4 linked regions of the Saccharomyces cerevisiae S288C genome follow. Changing the gene in region 1 together with any one later gene gives a genetic interaction. Each region holds a gene or a part of one and is shown on either strand. Other genes may lie near its edges. The genes, in order: FUS2, MNS1, GIS4 and SIM1.

What was found.
Region 2: mutations in FUS2 (region 1) and MNS1 together harm fitness more than expected from each alone (negative genetic interaction), as found in Saccharomyces cerevisiae (2 studies listed by BioGRID).
Region 3: mutations in FUS2 (region 1) and GIS4 together harm fitness more than expected from each alone (negative genetic interaction), as found in Saccharomyces cerevisiae (2 studies listed by BioGRID).
Region 4: mutations in FUS2 (region 1) and SIM1 together harm fitness more than expected from each alone (negative genetic interaction), as found in Saccharomyces cerevisiae (2 studies listed by BioGRID).

Annotation. Positions count from the first base shown.
Region 1 is NC_001145.3:735,030-740,868, reverse strand, and holds FUS2 (Fus2p), read right to left. Parts: upstream 3,944-5,839; coding exon 1,910-3,943; downstream 1-1,909. Other genes in the region: RNH1 (RNA-DNA hybrid ribonuclease), read right to left, coding at 1-603; TRI1 (Tri1p), read right to left, coding at 1,004-1,684; tethering complex subunit PEP5, read right to left, coding at 4,235-5,839. UniProt on the Saccharomyces cerevisiae protein: Promotes cell fusion during zygote formation.
Region 2 is NC_001142.9:665,944-671,202, reverse strand, and holds MNS1 (mannosyl-oligosaccharide 1,2-alpha-mannosidase), read right to left. Parts: upstream 3,560-5,259; coding exon 1,910-3,559; downstream 1-1,909. Other genes in the region: NMD5 (Nmd5p), read right to left, coding at 1-1,681; STR2 (cystathionine gamma-synthase), read left to right, coding at 4,066-5,259. UniProt on the Saccharomyces cerevisiae protein: Involved in glycoprotein quality control as it is important for the targeting of misfolded glycoproteins for degradation.
Region 3 is NC_001145.3:254,183-260,223, forward strand, and holds GIS4 (Gis4p), read right to left. Parts: upstream 4,235-6,041; coding exon 1,910-4,234; downstream 1-1,909. Other genes in the region: DNA-binding transcription factor YAP1, read left to right, coding at 1-1,618; TRM12 (tRNA(Phe) (4-demethylwyosine(37)-C(7)) aminocarboxypropyltransferase), read left to right, coding at 6,039-6,041.
Region 4 is NC_001141.2:126,092-131,108, reverse strand, and holds SIM1 (putative glucosidase SIM1), read right to left. Parts: upstream 2,959-5,017; coding exon 1,528-2,958; downstream 1-1,527. Other genes in the region: POG1 (Pog1p), read right to left, coding at 1-499; AYR1 (acylglycerone-phosphate reductase), read right to left, coding at 4,012-4,905. UniProt on the Saccharomyces cerevisiae protein: Involved in the remodeling of the cell wall during the various phases of yeast culture development and under various environmental conditions. Required for the maintenance of the CLB5 kinase activity.

The sequences.
Region 1 (5,839 bases):
CGTGCCGTTTCCAAAACTTGAACCATCACAGTAAACGTTCATAGACTTGTTGTACATGGTATTGCTAGAAAGCTTATACTTAGATTCAAAACTTTCTTTGGATATATTCATGAGCTTGTAATCATGCGCACTCATACCACTAATGAAGTTTTCCGCAGCTAATTGGTCTTCAAACTTCTTGAAGGTTATACCCCTTTTATGCTTGACATAGGCTTGACAGTCTTTCCAATTGTTAAAGATTTTACTCTCGATATTTGGAACATTACTCTTTACTGAATAAAAGGTATTTGTATTAGCAGAGCTTAAAGATGAACATGCTGATGACGATGTCAAGGAGGAATAATGAAGTGGCCGATTCCTTCGATGAACTCGCTTTTGAGTGGTATGAGGTTTACTAACTTGCCCTCCAGCATGCGTTGAACTTCCATAGTTTGATGTAGTATTTGGTTGACCTAGGAAAGATTTCGCTTGCTCGTAGCTGTTAAATTTTTTATAAATTGCACCACCATAACCATCAACTTGGTTTTTACATTCATTCCATGTATTATAGATCCCAGTTTCCCTGCCCTTTCTAACCGCGTAGAAGTTCCCTTGCCTTGCCATAATTAGGAATCGATAGTTCCTTCGATAAGCAAGGAGTGACACTTTAACTAATTTAAACAACGTGTATTATTGTGCTGCCATGAAATTAATATAGATCTTTACGACTATTGTACTTGCTTTTATTCATTGTTGATGCTGCTGTCATTTTTACATTTTTTTCTCCAGATAAAAAATAAAAAAAATATGCCATTAATTGATATCATCAGAATTTGACGAAATTCTCAAATCGAATTTGCCATAGTATTTCTTTAACGCCGTGAAGTGAAATTATTTATTACTAATGCTACATTAATTGTTAATTTACCTGTTTCAAGTACAATACAGTAGGTGCAGTGTGCTTTATACATGTCATCAAAGAGGAAAAAAAATCATTAAATTTGTATAAGTGCTACAGCCAAGATCAACCGCTTAAATTGGGAAGAGATTCGTTTTCCAATTTGATTTCTTTTTCGGGTGTTTGCTTTTGTTCCTCTTCATGTTTCACAATTTCATCGGGATTAAACAAGTGCTTAGTTAAGAGTTTATTCATTGAAAACATCGTCATTTTTTTGCCAAAAATTGGTTCCATCTTCTCATCGCATAGAATTTCTCTACGATCTTTTGGGTTTTGAAGATCATGCTCTTTGATATACTGCCATATCATCTTCACTACTTGCGTTCGTGGCAGTTCTTCAGATCCTAGAAACTTTTGTAAAGGAGCTGACAACAGAACTTTGCGGACGGAAATGCTGTTGGAATCAGGACTATCATTCTTTTTCTTCTTCCTTTTAGATTTACTTTCACTTTTACCTTTCCTTTTCCTCGTAGACCTCAAGGGTCTTTCTTCTTCCTTCTGTAACCTCAAAGATAGTTCTTGATCCCGACTAATGAGGTCGTTCTTCGGAATTAAGACTCTTGGGTTTTCTTGTATATCGCCGAACCTCTCAAGAATCAATTCATTAATTAACTTTCTTTGTGAATCCAAATTAACTGAATAGAGAATTTGCAGGGCTTTCCTCACCCTTTTTGGGCTTATTTCATCGGGGTTGGATACGCTCAAAATAGCGTCAACCATCGGAATATATTTATTGATGTCGGCCATAATGCTTTCACCCTCTATTTGCCTTCTATTTGCTCATTTCCTCTTAAACTTTTTCTTAAGGCTTTTCATGAATTAATTAAAATTTTCTTTCTCCTTCGCGCCAGCAAACAAATTATAGGTGACTGACTATAGTTCAACATATATACTGCTCCAGCGCAGTAGTACTACTTTAATAAAAAAGAAAACAAAACATTCTAAAAACTATAAGCTAAATATACTCTTTTGTTAAAGTTCGAAAAGTTTTCTGACAACACGGCTTCCACTAGGGTCTCCAGGGAAAGGCCAATCTTTTCTTACCATGCGTTTTGTCATATATCGTGATTTAGAATAACACTGCAAAATATCAAGATTTTTAATTTGGCCGGTAGCTATAGAGTCATTAAGAGACATATTTTCAAGATCTTTTTGCAGGTATTTTTTTCCACCAGCAATGATTTCCAAATATTTTAAGAAGACTTTGATATAGTTCAACAAGATACATTCGATAGTATCGTGGATCAAAGTAATAAAGACCGGTAATTCCCTTTTCATCTGGTTTTGCAGGTTTTGGAAATGCATTCCCAACAAGTCACGTTTAATATCTCGCACATTTGCTTTTTTTTCTTGTAAAAATAACATGTAATCTTTCTTCAAAGCTTGCAAATCTTTTAGTTTGCTTTTAACGGTAGTACAATGGGCTATGATTCTTTCAAGTGGGTTCATCACATCTGTTTCGAGCTCTGTGAGTTTCAAAATTGTTACTTGATTTTTTTGTTCATGCAGTTTATCTATGTACGAAGAACACATGGTCGATATTAAGTTATCGTGCGCAAAAAATGCACCAGAAGGGCGTTCGCACTCGATCACCTTTTTCCATGCATTTATTCTTCTTAAACTGATATCAATAATGCCTGACAGATCGTTTTTCAATAAATTCTTTTTTAATTCTAACAAACCTTTCATTACTTTCTTGAATTTACTGATGTGATCTGCCAATGTAAAAAATTCTGTTTCTTCATCCATTTTTAGATTTATCATCTCAGCTGAGGCAGTTGAAGTATTAGTGACAATTTCTAGCCCTGATACATCTGAGTAGTAACTCGATGATCCAGAAAGAAGAGAAGGAACTCTACTATTATCCAAATTACTCTCTTGTCGAGATGCATTACATATATTTTTATTTTGTTTGTCTGGGGGTTTTAAAAGGTGTGTAAACTGATCTTCATCATAACTTTGTATAATCTCTGATGGGGTTAAACTGAAATTATACATGGAATTACTCTTATACTCGGAGACCTCGGTTTCTAACTTATTGGAAAATAAAGAATATTTTCTTCTTGTCGGGCTTAGTTTCAAGCCCAATTCTGGCGAAAGAATATCTTCGTAACAGCTTTCCAAAGTTTCCAAAGTATCAATCCACTGAGTCAGTCTTTTCATCGGGCTTTTCAATATGTCCTCTAACTTTATACATCCACTCTCTTTTAAACAATATTCATACCACTTGTTAAAAAAATGATTCTTATTCATCCTTAATGTAGTAAATAGTTCCATTTGTTTTTGGTGGCTAACAAAATAGCTTGTGTAGGTGGATTTGATTCTTAACAAATGTTGCTCGAACGCCTCTGAAATATCAAAAGTTGAATATAGCTGCTGTTGTACCTCATTTTTGGTGAATATCTTTTGCCATTCATTCGCATCCAACATTTTCCCACGTTGCTTGGCTAAAAGTAGGTCTTTTATTGCCGTTACCAGTATTTTGCTGATTGACGCAATAGTGTCAATGTTCCCAAAAAGCAATAGCTCGTCACTTGAATCAAGCTTGACAAGTTTATTCTTGAATCTTGGATCACTATTCAATGCCTTTCTGTATACGTTATTTGCGGTTAACAAATTATTGTAATATTCCACTTCAGAGAGGTAAAACTCCTGTACGATTTTATAAAATTTGCATCCCTCGTGAGGAGAATTGGGAATCTGAGGGCTCAAATTCAGTCTCACGACATTTTGAAATATCTCTGTGTTAATAGGAGAGTAAATTTTTTTATTGCTCAGGCTCTCCACTATAGAATGCAAGTCCAGACTTGCTGGTCGTTTATTCGTGAATTTTTTATCGTTGAGTTTGTTTTCATGTTTCGATAACTTTCTCGTAGGTTTTCTAACAATTTCTGGTAATTTGTCATCATTTTTATGAAAATAGTCATTTTTGTAGTCTCTTATTGGCGTTAATGAATCATTTTTCGGATAGTTCAAATCGTACAAGTTATATGAAGTCTTAAACATCGCAAGGGGTTTTCTTGTCTTTTTCTTAAGAACTTACTATAACAAGAAAACCTAAAATTGGTTTCACAAAGAAAAAAGATACTTTGTCAAATAAAAGACGGTTGCCACATTAATAATTTTTTCAAAAGGATGTATAAAGGGTCTATCTTAAATATACAACTTCGTCTTCACCTTTGTCTTTTCCAACATGCGCTGTTTCAGTAGGTAACATATATGTTTCAGATTAACTTCGCGACAAGTTCGGGGCGCATTTGTGACGCGGCGGCGACAATAGATCGTTATGATCCATCATTAAATAGTGATGTCAGAATAACTGATGGCACCTCTACCTAAAAACTCTGTTATGACTTTGAAACGGTCTCTACTACCTTCTTCACTGTTTAATGCAAAATTCAAAAGATCATTCTTTTCAACTACTTCGTGTTGAGCTTCAAAAAGTTTGTTGGAGGTTTCTAAGTCCACCAAGCATTTGGGACATTTAAAGAGCTTTCTCTCGCTTTCTAGAGTATCTTCTTCCTCATTTAGACAATGTTGGTGGTAAATGTGACCACATTTAAAAAAAACTACAGGAATATCCAATGTCAGTCTACACATGAAACACGTTTGATTCTTCAGGGGTACGTGGAGAGGTTGATCTGAATTAATGGTGTTCTTCAACTTCTTGTTTTTCTCCTTTAACTCTTTATCGTAAGATTCAATTAGTTTTTCGTTCCTTTTGATTTCTGTATCTTCGGTTTTGACATGATCAATAATGATGTCTTGTATCAGCCCAAAGTGGGCTACATTTGTACGGGATAGCGCTTTAATTATATCCAACAGTGGCATTCTTTCCCCCTCTATAATTGGCCTCAATACTTTTTCTTTCAGTACTTCATTACCGCCCATCTCCTTGAAGATTAGTTTATTAGAAACAAAGTAACTCAATGCTACTTGTAAGAGCTTGGGTTCCTCTGTGCCATATTTTTCTAGGAATTTGAGACAAGTACTTGGTTCTTCATTTAACGTCATAGCCCTAAATGTACTCAGCAAATCCATCTCGGGGTTATCATTGGCAAATGAAGCTATGTCAATTTTCGTCTTATCTTTTGCTGAAGCACTACTTTGATCCATATGGGAAATTAACAGCATTATTGAGTTATCCACCCTTTTGCTAGTATTATTACTTGCGGCAGAATACACCAATTTATTGCTCTCACGCAATACGCCAGTTGCTCTTGAACGCCAGTCGTCTATACGCTCGGGTACATCATTTTGCGCCAAATTCAAATATAAGTCATATAAAGTAGTCAAAATTACTTGCCTATCTTCGTCAAAACCCTCATACTGCTGGTAACATGCCAAACAGGCTTCTAAGAAAACAACAAATTCAAAAGGTTTTGTAACGAATGAACTGAAAACAATGGATGGCTTCGGCGGATGATAAGTAGGCTCTTCATGTTCGTGGGATGCCTCTGAAGACTCGCTCATTGCGTCTGATGTACCATTTGAGTTCATGTAGTTGAAGAATGTTTTGTAACTGTAAAAAACTGTTCTAATATTTTCAGAAAAATCGCCCGTCGTATCTCTCCGGTCCAGATCCACTTCAAAAGTGGATGGTTTGAACTTCCCTGTAAATACTTCTATCAGTAAAGCATTAGTTTCATTCGGTGACTCCTCCAGTAATTTTTTCGAGTACGTCACAAGGCATCTTAGGGTTTCATCAATTGGTAAACTTTTTATGTATTTTATGGCTTTTACAGGGTTATGCAATAGATTCAATAAAATATCCACAATAATTAATGAATCCTTTGAATACTTCTTTGCAAGTCTGTATGAGAGACGCTTAAAATCTGACTCTTTCATAAGCTCTAAGATTAAATCTAAATCAAAAAAATCGTTATCTGAATAAAAAAACGT
Region 2 (5,259 bases), on another chromosome or scaffold:
ATAACTTCATATTAAACTGGTCATCACTGATAAAAGTTTGCAATGCCAATGCAGCTGTCAATTCTACAGGTAAAGAATTAGAAGAGTTATTCAGACAATTCATAACACCTTCGTAGATAGTAGAGGTTATTACCGGGTCTTTGAAATCCATAGAACCCAACTTCGAACAAATATCGCAAACACGACTTTGCAGAAACCCATACTGAGACTTAAAAAAAGGTAAAACGTATGTCAATATAAACTTTTCCATCTCACTGGCAAATGGAGAATCTTTAGTTATCAAACGGTCAATAATGCTGGAGAATATTCTCAAACAGGACTCAATTTGCAAGGCATTATCCAACATAATATTGTTGTAATCACCAACGGCACTTTGTAAGGTTGAGACCATAAATTCTAAGGTCGGTTGTAAGGTCGTTTTACCGCGTTTCGTCACGCATGTCGTTAGCAAAGCCAGTGCGGCAAGATCTGGGGAATAGCCGACATCCCAAAAGTCCATATTCCGGTTGATATATTCTTGAGGGTCATTGTCAAAGGCCTCCAAAGTCTCTGCAGTGGGCTTTAGTAGTGGGAAAATGACATGTTGAAGTATTACATTGTAGTGGGGCCCAACAAGTTTCCAAGTTGTTTTCTGCACAACACACTGCTCAACAAAGTTCAATATGTAGTATAAGCATTCGTCACTTAACCACAACTGTCCAGTTCCCCATTTCTCGATTTGATCGAAGACGACTTGCAAAAACTGAGTCAAAAACTCTTCACAGTACATCTGTTTAAACTCATCGTACTGAAACTTCCTTGTTAATGACGTTGATGCGTATCTCTGGAAAAGTCTATAAAGGTTTGCAAGAGCCCATTTCTTACATTTGACCCATGGATTTTTACTTCTGACCTCAATATCTGATATAGCCAAAACTTCCTGAGGCAATGGCTGCTGAATGATGCTGACAAAAAAACATGCCCATGGGGTAAACGATTCTGAGCGTTGTAATGTAAATGGTAGGTCATGGTATGAAACGAACTTATAAATTTTAATGATTAATTTTACCAATTCGCCAATTTGCTCGTTATTCATATATTTACCATCTTGGAAAAGGACATTTGCGCCATAGTTTAATAAAGCAGGGAAATAATTTAAAATCAACTCTTCTAAGTCCTGTCTTTCATCATTATTCTTCCACCTATAGGTCCTAAAAATCTCAGCAAGACACAGAAGTCCGACATATGTTACTGTGATGTCTTCATTTGCGAGTAATTCTAAGGAATTTGGTAACAAATTGCCCCATTTTTTGCTAGGGTAATCTTCTGAAATAATTACAGTAAGGGCAGATTTTAGCACTCTGATACAACGCGGGGAGGTCTTGGACACACTGACCATTGTTTTAATTAACATATCTTTTACTACTGGTTTTTCATCCGGATCAACATGTGAATCTAATAATTCATTTGAACCCTGTCTTGCACCAGCAGACCATCCGTATGTAATCTTATTCTTGAAATATAAGGAAGCTGATAATTTGATGTTTTCTGGTACTTCATCAGCAGCAATGATATCCAGGCATGCGCCTAAGAATCCCGGTACTTTACTTGCATTTTTAAGATGTGTTTCTGCATTAGTTCTTACGGCAGCGTTATGGTCCAAAGTACAGGCAAAGCACTGTAACAATTCTGTAATATCCATCGAGAATAAAATGTCTTCGTCAAAATCAAAATTGTGTCAAATATCCAGACGAAAAATGATTGATTATGCTGAAATATATAAATGAATATTGATTCAAATATACTTTTTTGCTGAAGTAAGCATTGCAAATTTTTCATTTTCCTAAACATGGAAAAAATGGTATAGCACATCATCACACCGCATAGTGAATTTTAAAAGGCGAATCTGGCCACTATATAGCACACTAACCTACAACGACCAACCTGTGGTCAGAGACTGCGATTTTAATATTTCTTCGTCTAATACTGGAAAAGGATGAGCTTCTGTGTTGAAAACAACTTTGGTCAAATCAAACTCGTCTAAAAACAATATATATAAATACTTTAAAGTCTCTGCCAACCAGAAACTTTCCATATTGTTAGATTTCTTTGTAGGTAACGTGATACAATCACTTAAACTGGTGAACCGCCTTAATTTTGGGTCATTACAATCAACACAGGTATTTTCAAAGAAGCTAGTTGCGATTTCCGCCCCCCATTCACGATATTTGTGATCATGAGATAAATGATACATGAACATAATCGATTCCACCGTTTCTGGTCTTTGTAGGTTGTGCCTATCGAGTGGTTTAACAAAAAAATCACCCACAGACGACCGCCACCAACCATCCTGTTTTATGTTTCCATCATTGAAGACAACGATTTCAGGCGCAAGCCCCGAGGAAGACTGCTTGTACATTTGATAACATGTGTCAGTTATCCCTTTAGCCAAATCCCAGTCACTTTTTCTTTCAAGGGAAAGAGAGAAAAACGGACGTCTTCGGGCTTCATGAATAGAAAGGCCCTCAGTAGAGCCTGATGCTAACAATCCCCCCATAAAGCACACGAGGTGGTCCATCTTAGGAGAAAGTTGTCCATGTAGACCTTGTTCTCTTTCCCCAATGTACCACAGAGAAGAGGGTTTGGATTGTGCTAATAAATGCTTTTTCATACCTTCCATGGATTTTCTGTACAGATCATAATAAAGTGTTTCGTGCGTCAATAAATATTGTTTTAGTAAATACTCATAAAAAGAATCACCTCTTGATCCGAACCGGATAGTCGAAGCACCAAACTTCCCAGTATCTGGAAATGTATAAATTGGAACCAATCCATCGTAGGTATTTAGAAGATCGTTATTTTTGTATAATGGCTCGTAAACACGCTCCACCAGCTCCCAATAAGTACGATTTCCTGTCAAATACGCCAGATATTTGAATTCCATTTGTAGCGTAGTGAATTCTGCGGTAGAAGATGCCCCCCCATCTGCATGGTTCTTAACCGCTTGGCCACTATGAAGGTTTATACTTGAGTATGGAATTCCGGTCTGAGTGGATAAGAACGCCAAAGCAAGCCTATCCCCCAAATCTATTGCTTTGTTCAAGTAGACAGTCTTATTACCTACTTCTAAAACATCAGATAGATGATATGCGGATAATAAACCACCTAGCATTCTAATAGTAGTTTCAAAAACATTCACTTCGGCATCAATATCAAAATCCAAAACATCGTTTATCCAATGCTCCGATCTCTGAATTTCTGCCTCGAACTCACTTTTGTATAGTGTGGAGGAGTTATACATTAACATCAAGGTATCCACTGAATCTACGATAATCCAGCCTAACGGCTGGTTGCCACGAGGCATATTATGGGAAGTGTGCTCAATAGGTCCATACACATCGTATCCCCAGCCATGCTTGGAATAGTCTCTCCACGATTCCAAGAACATGCTTTCAATCCGATCTCTCATTTCTCCGGCCCCCGGTGACTTTCTCTCAAAGTGTTCGTACCATGGCACATAGTATATAGCTGCTATGATAGCAACAATGGTTGCAATTGAAATACCGACAGAGTTCTTCATAGAATCCTTTTTCAATGTTTAACCTTTTCCTCTTTTACTACCTTTTTCTGTCGTCTTTCGTTTCTTGGCAAAGCACATTTCTTTCATTCTTTCGTTTGGCGAAACTGAAAATTCCAAATAATTGCTCTTCCACAGAAAATGCGTTACAACCAAAGTGAATTTGTAAAAGTTTAACCCCACATTTTGCTACAGTCTTATTTAAAAATAGCAGTATTCATATTAAAATATCTTGCGGTTTAAGAACTCAATTAACTTCAATGATTGCCAGTGTTGTTCAGGTAAAACCCTTCAAACCTAGTAAATATGACTTATCTTCATGCGTGGATGTAAAAAACAAAAATCATGATAGCGCCTCTGCACTTCACAATATCTCGGTCTAAAAATTAGTCATATATTTTGGATATATATATATATATATACCCATATATATAACGATAGTAGAATGACGCTCATGTGCCGATTCGGGACCTACATAAACAAGAGAGAGAAGAGGAACAGAAGAAAAAATGATATCTAGAACCATTGGTGAATCTATTCCGCCCAACACAAAACATGCTGTTTCCGTGTGTTTGCCCACATGGGAAGCTACAGTAGGCTATGAAGAGGGTGAAAGCAGTATAATTAACTCGCTTACTACCGGATATCCAAGATTTTTCATACACAAGTCAATAAAGAAATTATGTGAAATTTTATCCGCTAAGTACTCCATGGAAGATGAAGCTTGTCTTTGCTTCCCCTCTTACAAGGTTGCCAATAGGTGCAGAGAGTTTATCAAAGTGAAAACGGGTCTTTCTACCAAAGTACGCATCTTACAACTATGTACACCTAAACCTATGAACCAAGAGGAAAAGCTCTGGAGAAGGGAATGTAAAATCACGGTGGTGTTTGTAGACCAGGAAATATTCCCCGTGATGAAGCAGTATTGGCAACATTCTGGTGAGATTGTATCTAGCAGAATGGCGGAGTATATTTTACATGAATTACAAGTCAAGGATAATCTTAAGAAGATGGAAACAGTGGATAACGGTAAAAAATTTATGACCGAAGATGAAAACAGAGTGAACGAAGAATATATAGAAACGAGATTTGGGAGAAATTTAAATTTTCTTGCTGCTGATAAAGCCAAATATCTAATACGAAAGAGGATTGCCACAAAAGTTGTTGAAAAAATTGACTCTGAAGGTCTATCGGACCTATTCTCTTTTGAACACTATAACGAGAGCAACGGTCCATTCAATGTTGGCAGTGGAGAGGCTCTGGATGATGATCAGTTGAATTCGGACATACCTGCCGAAACAATTACTTCTATGGGAGAAAGTGGCTCAAACAGTACTTTTGAAAACACAGCTACCGATGACTTGAAGTTTCATGTCAACCCTAATACGGATGTTTACTTATTTCCAAGTGGAATGGCGTCCATTTTCACTGCCCACAGGCTGCTTTTAAACTTCGATGCCAAGCGCTTATCAAGGTCTTCTAGTAGACAAGATAAGTTGATTGGATATGGACCTCCGTTCAAGAAGACCGTCATGTTTGGATTCCCATATACAGATACTCTGAGCATTCTTCGGAAGTTCAATCACACACATTTCTTGGGACAGGGAGATTCAACGTCAATGAACGCTCTGAAAAATATTTTACATTCTGGTGAGCAAATACTGGCGGTATTTATAGAAGCTCCATCGAACCCACTGTTGAAA
Region 3 (6,041 bases), 480 kb from region 1:
TTTGAGGGACCAGTTAATCACTCTGGTGAATGAGTTAAAAAAATATAGACCAGAGACAAGAAATGACTCAAAAGTGCTGGAATATTTAGCAAGGCGAGATCCTAATTTGCATTTTTCAAAAAATAACGTTAACCACAGCAATAGCGAGCCAATTGACACACCCAATGATGACATACAAGAAAATGTTAAACAAAAGATGAATTTCACGTTTCAATATCCGCTTGATAACGACAACGACAACGACAACAGTAAAAATGTGGGGAAACAATTACCTTCACCAAATGATCCAAGTCATTCGGCTCCTATGCCTATAAATCAGACACAAAAGAAATTAAGTGACGCTACAGATTCCTCCAGCGCTACTTTGGATTCCCTTTCAAATAGTAACGATGTTCTTAATAACACACCAAACTCCTCCACTTCGATGGATTGGTTAGATAATGTAATATATACTAACAGGTTTGTGTCAGGTGATGATGGCAGCAATAGTAAAACTAAGAATTTAGACAGTAATATGTTTTCTAATGACTTTAATTTTGAAAACCAATTTGATGAACAAGTTTCGGAGTTTTGTTCGAAAATGAACCAGGTATGTGGAACAAGGCAATGTCCCATTCCCAAGAAACCCATCTCGGCTCTTGATAAAGAAGTTTTCGCGTCATCTTCTATACTAAGTTCAAATTCTCCTGCTTTAACAAATACTTGGGAATCACATTCTAATATTACAGATAATACTCCTGCTAATGTCATTGCTACTGATGCTACTAAATATGAAAATTCCTTCTCCGGTTTTGGCCGACTTGGTTTCGATATGAGTGCCAATCATTACGTCGTGAATGATAATAGCACTGGTAGCACTGATAGCACTGGTAGCACTGGCAATAAGAACAAAAAGAACAATAATAATAGCGATGATGTACTCCCATTCATATCCGAGTCACCGTTTGATATGAACCAAGTTACTAATTTTTTTAGTCCGGGATCTACCGGCATCGGCAATAATGCTGCCTCTAACACCAATCCCAGCCTACTGCAAAGCAGCAAAGAGGATATACCTTTTATCAACGCAAATCTGGCTTTCCCAGACGACAATTCAACTAATATTCAATTACAACCTTTCTCTGAATCTCAATCTCAAAATAAGTTTGACTACGACATGTTTTTTAGAGATTCATCGAAGGAAGGTAACAATTTATTTGGAGAGTTTTTAGAGGATGACGATGATGACAAAAAAGCCGCTAATATGTCAGACGATGAGTCAAGTTTAATCAAGAACCAGTTAATTAACGAAGAACCAGAGCTTCCGAAACAATATCTACAATCGGTACCAGGAAATGAAAGCGAAATCTCACAAAAAAATGGCAGTAGTTTACAGAATGCTGACAAAATCAATAATGGCAATGATAACGATAATGATAATGATGTCGTTCCATCTAAGGAAGGCTCTTTACTAAGGTGTTCGGAAATTTGGGATAGAATAACAACACATCCGAAATACTCAGATATTGATGTCGATGGTTTATGTTCCGAGCTAATGGCAAAGGCAAAATGTTCAGAAAGAGGGGTTGTCATCAATGCAGAAGACGTTCAATTAGCTTTGAATAAGCATATGAACTAAAGCGGGAACTTTATGGAAAACTGGGTAACCGAAAGAACTTTTTCTATAATGTTACAATTAAACTTTTTTAACTTACCTTGCTTCGCCTTTTCGCCGAAAGTAGGTAGATTGTATCACCTCGGTATTTTTTTATGTACACAACCTATACTTTAAATATATTTAGACTATGTATGAATTCTCTGTATCACCTTCAATGTCAATATAGAAACTGGTAAGTGCAATAGTACCAATAATGATTATAATTATAATACAAGTATATATATATATCTATATATAGTGGTAAAGTATTCTTTACATGATGGCACAACGCTGAGATTTATCCGTACCTGCAGAACCACTGTTTTTATGATTCTTAAACCTATTCATCTGGAATTTCCAACGCTTTCTATCCTTGTTAGTGGCATGAGTAGGGTTATCTATGCCGCTTAAAGACTTTAGTAATGTAGGTAAAGGCAAACTTTTGGACCTTTCCACGGCACTCATAGCATTGATGGAACTCTTTATCTTTTTCAACTCATTTTTGGAATTACTTTCATTGTTACCCTTGGAATTAGGTTTGTGAGAATTTTTTGTCTTCAAAGAATGGCTAAAATTCGAGGAAGTCGTATTAGAGTTCGACAGTTGTGTCATTGGATGAGGTTCACTTGATAAAACTGTACTTTCACCTGTTTTAGAGTTATCCAACTCGTTACTATTACTTTTATCGATTTTTGTAACAGAATTATGTCTATTGAATGCCCATTCCCCGATACTGTTTACGGTTCTAATAGAACGATGTGCTGTAGTAACGTTAGATTCCATTCTAGTTGGTATGTACATTTGTGGGCCTGACTGTTCTGATAAAGAAGCATCGTCACCATCGTCTTCATCGTCTTCATCGTCAATATAGTCGTTGTAACCGTTATTATATGCAGTCGGGAAATATTGTTGCGGGTCGTTAGTTAATGATAACTCAGAATCTAGAGGTTGCTCTTTTGATATTCCTTCCCTATTATCATAATTGGGATTTTTGAATTCTTCTTCAACCTGTTTGCCGGAGTTTGTCACAATAACCATTGTGTAAAATAAAATTTTTGGAAATGATCTCTTGATATCTAGCAAATCTTGAAGTGTTAGAATTTGTAAATTATTCATTGAAAAATTGGAATCATACAGCAACCAATCATCGGTAACGCTTGCCATTGTAGGTTTATTGTTTGACTGTCTAATCGCAGTAAAAATTTCTTTGGTGTCTGGATCCTGAATTAATATAGATTGCAAAACTAGCCTAAAATACCCTAGAGAATCACAAATTGAGATTGACGGTAGAATGGATAGTACTGAGTAATCGGAAGAAGAAAGATCTTCATCATCATAAACCTCTTCTCCATCGTCCTCTCCTGATCCATACCCTTGGGCGTCATAGTTATGATGAATTAAATTATCCTCCTCCTCTGGGGTTGTCGAAGTAGTTAAATTGTCTATAGAACTCGTTATACTTGACAATTCAGAGACATAGGTGGCATTCGTGTGATCGATGTTTTCACGTTTTGGATTACCTCGGCTGCTACTGCTTAAACTGTAGTGGGCACTACTACTATTACTGCTACTACTATAGCTAGTGTAGCTGACCGAACTTTCCATGCTATAACTTGCTTGATCGATACTCTCGTCACCTAGATCATGTGAGACTCTGCTATAATGATCCTCAACTTCATCCTGACCACTTTCATCCTCGCGCCTGGCAGTAGTTAAACTCAGGTCTTGTCCGGGATATGTGGATGATACGTCTTCGCCAGCAAAACTATCTATTGACATTATCTCGGAATGTGACGGTGTATAGTCTTCATTAGTGTATGATGGAAAAATTTTGGGTAGTCTATTAGGCTTTGAATCTACTGTTCGCGAATGAGAAAAATTTAGGACTATAGAACTTGTGGCATCCTCTTCATCAACTTCGTTTTCATTATCTTGAGGCGTATCATTATTATTGCTTTGACTATTCACGGATGTAACGTTTATATCAACTGTGTCCGGAGATGTCAAAGTCCTCGTATTCGTATTAGTTCGGGTAGCTGTTGAAGTCTGGGTATTTATATTTGACCACTGATCATCCGAAACGTTTGATTCTAGCTTCCCGTTTGAAGCTTTTGATGAAGATATTGTGGGTGGTGGTATTGAATTTCTATTGTTATTGTTTAAAGCCTTGGAATTTTTTTGAACTTGCCAACTTGTACTCGCAAATTCTAAAAAGGTAGGGTCTTGGAAATTGTTGAGGTTGTCCGTCAATAGGTAATGATTTTCATGATTGTAGCAGTGGGAGTGAGTTAATTTTGAGATTTGAATGTGTTCTAATTTTTCCAGATGAAAGTAATCTTTGAGGAAGATTTCCAATATGGAGATATCTTCATGAACATTCTCTGGGATGGAAACTAACAAAATCTTCTTGTTTGGCCTGGCCGAAATATTGTTATCACCATAAAAATGACTATTCAGAAATCTTTTTAACAGAGTGTATTTTAATTGATTGCCTATAAGTTCTTCAAAATCGCCTAATCTGAGGTTTGTTAAGTACCACGACCACAAACCATTGTCATCATTGTCAAAATAGTCGCCCACTCTAACGGATTTTTGCATTATATTTAAGTAACAGAGTGCTTTTTGATGGTTTTTGTTAACCGTCTTTCGAGCAGTTGAAGGATGAGAGTGAGTGTTAATGAGGGGTTATTTCTGCAAAACTTCTGCCGATATATTCTGCACTTAGTTCCCGCTGTTGTTCAGCCTTCACGTTCCTTAGCTACACAAGTCAGTTAAATCTGGTCCTGCCAAAGTGAATAAGTTGAAGATATTTATCTAGCTTGCGATGGAAAAAACTACAATAGGAAAAAAACTAATTAAAAAAAGAAAAAAAAAGAGAAGAATTCAATGTTTAGGGATATAAATTCGATATAAAGGTTTAAAGTAAATAAATTTCGTGTATTACTATGCAAGTAATGTTTCTGCCTGCACCGGCTTCGTAGCTGGTGGAGTGCGATAGCGATGATACTACCTGAAAACACAGAGGAAGGCCGTCAGCCCCGCGCTAGGAACGATGAGGAGAAACCAGTTGGCGAATCGCCACATGCCATTTACGTAAAAGATGCTGTGTAACCTAACAGAAATAATCGATGGTGTGAACTAAAGTCCTAGGATGCACATAAGCAAGCGAAAAAGTGAAAACAACATTTCCAGAGCTAAAAAAATGCATTTGCCGATCCGAAATAATCTCAAAACGAAAAAATGATTATGGACGTAAACAAAATTACCGCATTTCGCTCTCCTATTATCATAACAAGCATGAGCGCAAAACTTAAAAATCCATCAAGAGGCAAAAAATAACGACAACTGCAGGACTCGAACCTGCGCGGGCAAAGCCCAAAAGATTTCTAATCTTTCGCCTTAACCACTCGGCCAAGTTGCCATACTAACTTGATTATTTGTGTATTCTGTTTTCTTGTGATTCCTTCTGGTTACATAATTACATTGTCTATATTCATATTTGATTCTAACAGCAGGTAATATTGGTCTATCGGCTACTCGTTCAAAAAATTAAAATCGTTATCAATTATATTCCATAGTATAGGTTGTTAAAAGATGGAATTAATTAAAGTAGAGTAGTAGAACAGGGATCACAGTGTTATTAGATTTTGGAGCAACTGATGTGTGTGAGTAATATATAAGGATGAATCGAATGAAAGTATTATGAGAAAAGGAATCATCGTTGTGTAAAGTTGTTCATTTCGTATTTCTGGGTACTGTGAATGAGATGAACTTGCTGATAATCGTTGGCATACTATTATTTGGAACGGTAATATTTTTGCGAATACAAAGTATACTGTAGTTTTTCCCCGAGGATTTACGAACCCACGAGAAGTGATCAATATTTCTACACAGTAGCATTATGATCTCTCTTTATTCGCTTATGTGTCGCCATTCACTACCCTATCATAATTCGGATCCTTGTGTTTCAGCTCCCATTAAGTTTGACGACCGTTCGTCATTTATTTATATTCTTACACCGTACACGATAATATACTTATGCGAACTCTAGTCGGTCGATGGTGATTAATTTTCATTTCAATATTTACTTATATCGGCGATAAGTCTTAAGCATGGAATTTATAGTCATTCTGTCACCCCTCCGAAACAGAAATGAATTTGTAAATGTATTCACTAAGTTTAGCCGTTTTAGACATTTGAATGTCGTTCGTCATCAGCGCGGCCAATATTGTTTACATGAAGAAAATGTTGTTAATATAGGCACTCTATTTGGTTTCATTATGAGAAGTATCTTGCTGCTTGATGTCTTCGCACTTTTTTTTTCCAGATTTTTCAGGTGATGAGGTGGAGCTGGAGGATTTTACAATATTACTCAAATAATTTGTAGACAACGTTAGCGTGAATG
Region 4 (5,017 bases), on another chromosome or scaffold:
CAAGTTCGGAGGCGTTTATCTTGCGTTTCTTTGTCGTTATCGGAGACGGTATCGTAAGATGATTGTTGTTATCATTATTTGTATCTCTATTCATGGACATATCAAGAATCTTGTTTAATGTCGAATCACTTATTTTATCACTTTCCATACATTTATCAATAATCTGGTTTAGTTTCGCAAGATTTGACTCGCGTATCTTTTCTAGTTCTTTTGTGTCGTTTATCAATCGTACGTTTAAAAATTGCTCCACTAGGCCAGTGTCGCATGCATTTAGTTCTTGAATATCGTCAAACCCAAGTTGTTTTAATATTCTTATTCGAAGCGATAGAGACTTTTCTGTTTGCGATGATTCCACTGGTCTACTGTTGGTACTCTCGTCTCCTGTACTAGCTGTCACGGTTGTACCAGAAGATAATGAGGTATGCTGCTCTCGTTCAACAGCCATTGGTCCTTTCGGCTTCTCTTTTTCTTCGGATTGTCTATGTGGCTCCTGCTTCATAATATGGCATCCACTTTGATTTTCGTCTTTACTTATTTTTTTTCAATTTCTGCAATTAATCGTGGGACTCTTGAAATGTTTTGCGCCTTTTTGTATGAGTTAAGCGCAGGGATTGCACGCAATTTATTTCCTCTTCTGCGTAGCCTTTAAAATACGCGAACCTTAAGTGATATCAGTACGCGATTTGATCTTAGTTTTACTTATCTGTTAAAATAAGATACCTTGGGTTCCCAGTGTCTTTTCTACTATTGCTTCACACCTTATTATTTTTGTGCACTTTTGCTTTTATGAGAATAGGCAGTGCATACCTTTTAATTTCTTAGCACTCTGAATTTTCCAACCTCTACGAAAAAAAAGGAAGAACTTACAAAGTTCCCCCATCTGAAGCAGTAAATTTCCAAAAATTTTTTTCACCATCCGCATTTTCCCTTTTTGATCCACAATTGCCCAAAACAGTAATATTTTACGGGTAATGGCGGGGCAAAGCTCATCTCCGCAGATCCTCTTCGCGCCGACAGGCGCTGGGGGCTGAAAACACTACGTGCGGAAAGTTGTGCCTTCATGTCCTGATTCGGAAATGTGATGATTTCGTAAACCTACACAATATCCCCTTTGAGACTATTGCAGAGCTGCATATGTACTATTTTTAGCTGTCTAGGAACAGGCTACAGTAAAAGGAGGCCGGAAAGCTGAAGATGAAAAGAGTTCTTAAATTTCTTATGGGTATCGGACAGTATGTGTTTTCTTATGTAAATCTATTTAAAATTGTTCCGTCTTTGAAAATCTCTCTATCCAAGAATACTACTTGCTAGTTAAAGATAATCGTAATGAATCTTGGCTATATTTGGTCGTCTAACAAGTTCACTTGGATAATGGTACAGAAACATTGAGGCCATTAACGAAAAGAAAAAGGTGGACAGTATAAATATCGGTAAAAAGAAAAGGGGACCATAGTGATTGTGTGAGGTATAGGGGGTGAGATGTGTTCGAAAAAAGAAAAAAAAAAGGAAAAGTAGTAGTCACGTAGCTTAATTGTATAAGACGAAATGAGCTTTACCGGAAGTAACAGAGACGGTACACCCGTCAGCACCGCCAGAGAACTCACCATTTTCGTAAACACATTCACCGATGACATTGGATGAATCATCAGCAGCAACTATCTTGACGTTGTAGTTCAATGCGTCGCTGTTGTTTGGGTTAGGAATCAATGATAAGTATGTCACTCCACCAGTGGAGCCAGCACCAAAGTTTAATGGTGCCCAGTTACCAATACCAGATCCAGAAGTACCCCAGATACACCCATCTTCAACTGAGACGCCGGCGTTATTAACGTAGTATTGAGCAGATGTCTTTTTGCCTTCCCAAGTAAAGTAAGTATCTTGGTCAACAACGGTCAATGGCAAAGAGCTACCCCCTTCAACATAGGTTGGGATAACCATGTTTTCAGTGCCCGGGTAGTCGGTTCTGCAAATGGCGACACCCTTGCTTAGTTTAGAAACAACATAGGCAGCCTCGACACCCCATTCACATAAGTAATCCGCGTCAGTGTTAGAACGGTACAAATAACCATTTTTACACAACAAACCCCCGACAGATCTACCGTCAGATGGTTGATCGGATGGCCATTGGGTCTTAGACATACCTGGTTGGCAGGAGTAGGAACAGTAGGACCCCTCCTTGCATGAACCGCCAGTGGAAGTGTCGGTGTTTTCCACACCGGACCATCCACCCTCGCCAATCCAGTCAATAGAAATGACACCTTGACCAGATGGGAATTTGTCACATGGAATAGTGCCGTCTTGGAATTTCTCACTTGGGCCTGAAAAGTCGGCCAAATCACCGTAGATACTACCACTGCCAGAAGAAGAAGAAGAAGAGGAGGAGGAGGAGGAAGAGGAAGAGGAAGTAGAAGAAGTGGAAGTAGAAGTAGAAGTAGATGGTGAAGTGGAAGAAGTACTAGATTTAGTGGCAGAAGAAGCACTAGATTGGGTTGCGGAAGAAGTTGACACGACAGTAGATGTTGGAGCAGCTTCTTCACTAGATGAAGAAACAGAGCTGCTTTCTAGGGTAGAAGTTGCCGAGGAGGAGGAGGAGGAGGAGGATGCCCCTTGAGATGTTGAGGCAGTGGCAGATGCAGCGGCATCAGAGATTTTCTCATTCTTGGCTAAGGCAGCAGATGAAACAGCAATGGAAGCGGAGCTATCCGCAGCGGCTGCGGAGGAGGTTGGAGCCAACACAGATGTTGTAATGATAGCAGAGGTAGCAGCAGTAGCGACTTCTGAAGCAGCAGGAGTTACAGTGTGGCCATCAGAATCGACAACAACAGTTTCGTAAACGTATTTGTACGCAACGGCCCTCTTATGTTGGTGGGCATCTTCTTGGTGAACATCCACGTGTGGTAAAGCAGACACGATGGCACCAGAACTAATCAACGTAGTAACGGCAGTTGAGAATTTCATTTCTGCAAAAAAATAAAGGATTGGATATTAGTTAGTAAAGTGTTTTTTTTTCTCTTGTTTTACCTCAAGTATTGCTTTTCTTACACAAAACCTTTCCAAATGCAAACCAGTCTACATCTTATTTAAGATATACACAGCTGCTATGCTGTGCTATGCTGAAAGCATTAATGGCTATTTTCTGGTTCTTCCTAATGTAGATCTGAAACTTCTATTGACTGACGCGAAACGCCAAAAAAAGGCATGTCCGGATCGGGAAAAAGTGTCCGCATCAGGAAATTTTCCGCCGCAATTTTCGTGACGAATGTCGTTCAGGAGAAAGAAACGAAGATAAAACCAAAAATAGCGGTTGAGCACGACTAAACTAACGTTTTGAGGACGCATTGGCGGTATTGGAAAGGGTTGAACTGCTGCAGAAGCTGAGCAAGCCTTGGTATTCATGGCAATACGGATTGTAAAGGTGTATGAGAAAAATTGTGGTAAATAACTTACTAAAAATAAAGCTCAGGTTAACTTAAATATTGTGGTTTTTAAAGGAATGTAAGTAGTTGGGTAGCACTAAACAAATGTTTTCTTGCTCGCTAGTTAATTTTTATAAAGGAAGGACTGTAAATAGTTGGAATTCGAGAGGGGAGCAAAGAAACTGTTTCTTTCAGTTCAAATGGTCTTGCTATAGTGTCTTATTCAACTGAGTAGATATATATATTTGAATATGCTGTTCTCACTTTTGAAGTAAGAGAGGGAATGCGAAGATAAATACAGAATAATTTCATGTAGTTTATAAATAAACAATGGCAATTTTGAAAAAAAAAAAACAACAAAGCACGATGCGAAATGAGCGAATTCCGTCCCAGCGCGTTTCAAACGGTAAGAGCAAAGAGAATGAGTGAAGTGACAGGAATTTGGCATACTGGTACGACGAGACGTAAACAATACTTAAAGAGCAGTTGAACATTAGCATTAGAACGATTATTAGCTATTGATGTCCTGACGTGGTGTACAAACTATACGGAATCTTGTATATAAATATAGGTAGCTATTGACGATGGTGAAACACTAATCGTCCTTATTCTTCTGTTTCGACTTCAAAGCATTATTAACTTTGTCCAATTTAAATTTTTTGGAAAGTCCTTTTTCCAATAGCCAGTAAGGAACAAATATCATGACAAAACGCATGATGTTGGCGAACGTTCCTCTATAAACATCTACAGGGTCACTAGTGCTCAAGATATCTTTAACCAGTTGCTTTGCGTACGCATCAGCTGGCATGGGCTTATTGTCCTTAGCCATGGTTTTTCTTGAATTAAAAGCTTCCCTACCTTCAGGGAAGTTGTATATTGAGGTTTCAGGCAAGGGCCTTTTATCAGCGATATCAGTAGCCACACCGCCAGTAATAGCGTTAATCACTCTCACGTTGAAGGGCTTCATCTCTAGATGTAACCCACGAGCATATTGGTGGATAGCAGCTTTAGAAGCGGAATAAATGCTACCAAAGGGGAATGACACAACTCCTGCCAAGGAACCAGTGAAGACAATGGTTCCTTTCGCTTTAATAAGGAACTCCGACAATTCACGGCACATGTTGATATGACCAAACACATTGACCTTAAAGCATTGTTCTACTGCAGCATCTGTTGCATCCAATGCAGGGAATGTACAACTCTGACCGGCATTGTTGTACAATAAATCTAATTTACCATCAGGTAAATTAGCTCGCAAAAAACCAGAAAATGTTACAATTTCTTCTGGCTTGGAAATATCCAACTTATATGGTTTGATACTATCGTTACCAAATTGGATGGCCAATTGTGCCATTGGTTCTAGTCTTCTTGCACATGCATAAACCAAATAGCCATTTCTGGCTAATTCCTTCGTTACCTCATATCCAATACCACCTGAGGCGCCTGTAACAACGGCAATCTTTTTAGGTTGTGACTGTAACTCCGACATACTCTTTGAAATCCTGATCAATATTTGAATTGAGTATATATTAATAGAAGTTGGGCATGATGAATAAAACTTATTCACTCTATTTACCTACCCCCTTCCCCCTTTCCATTGA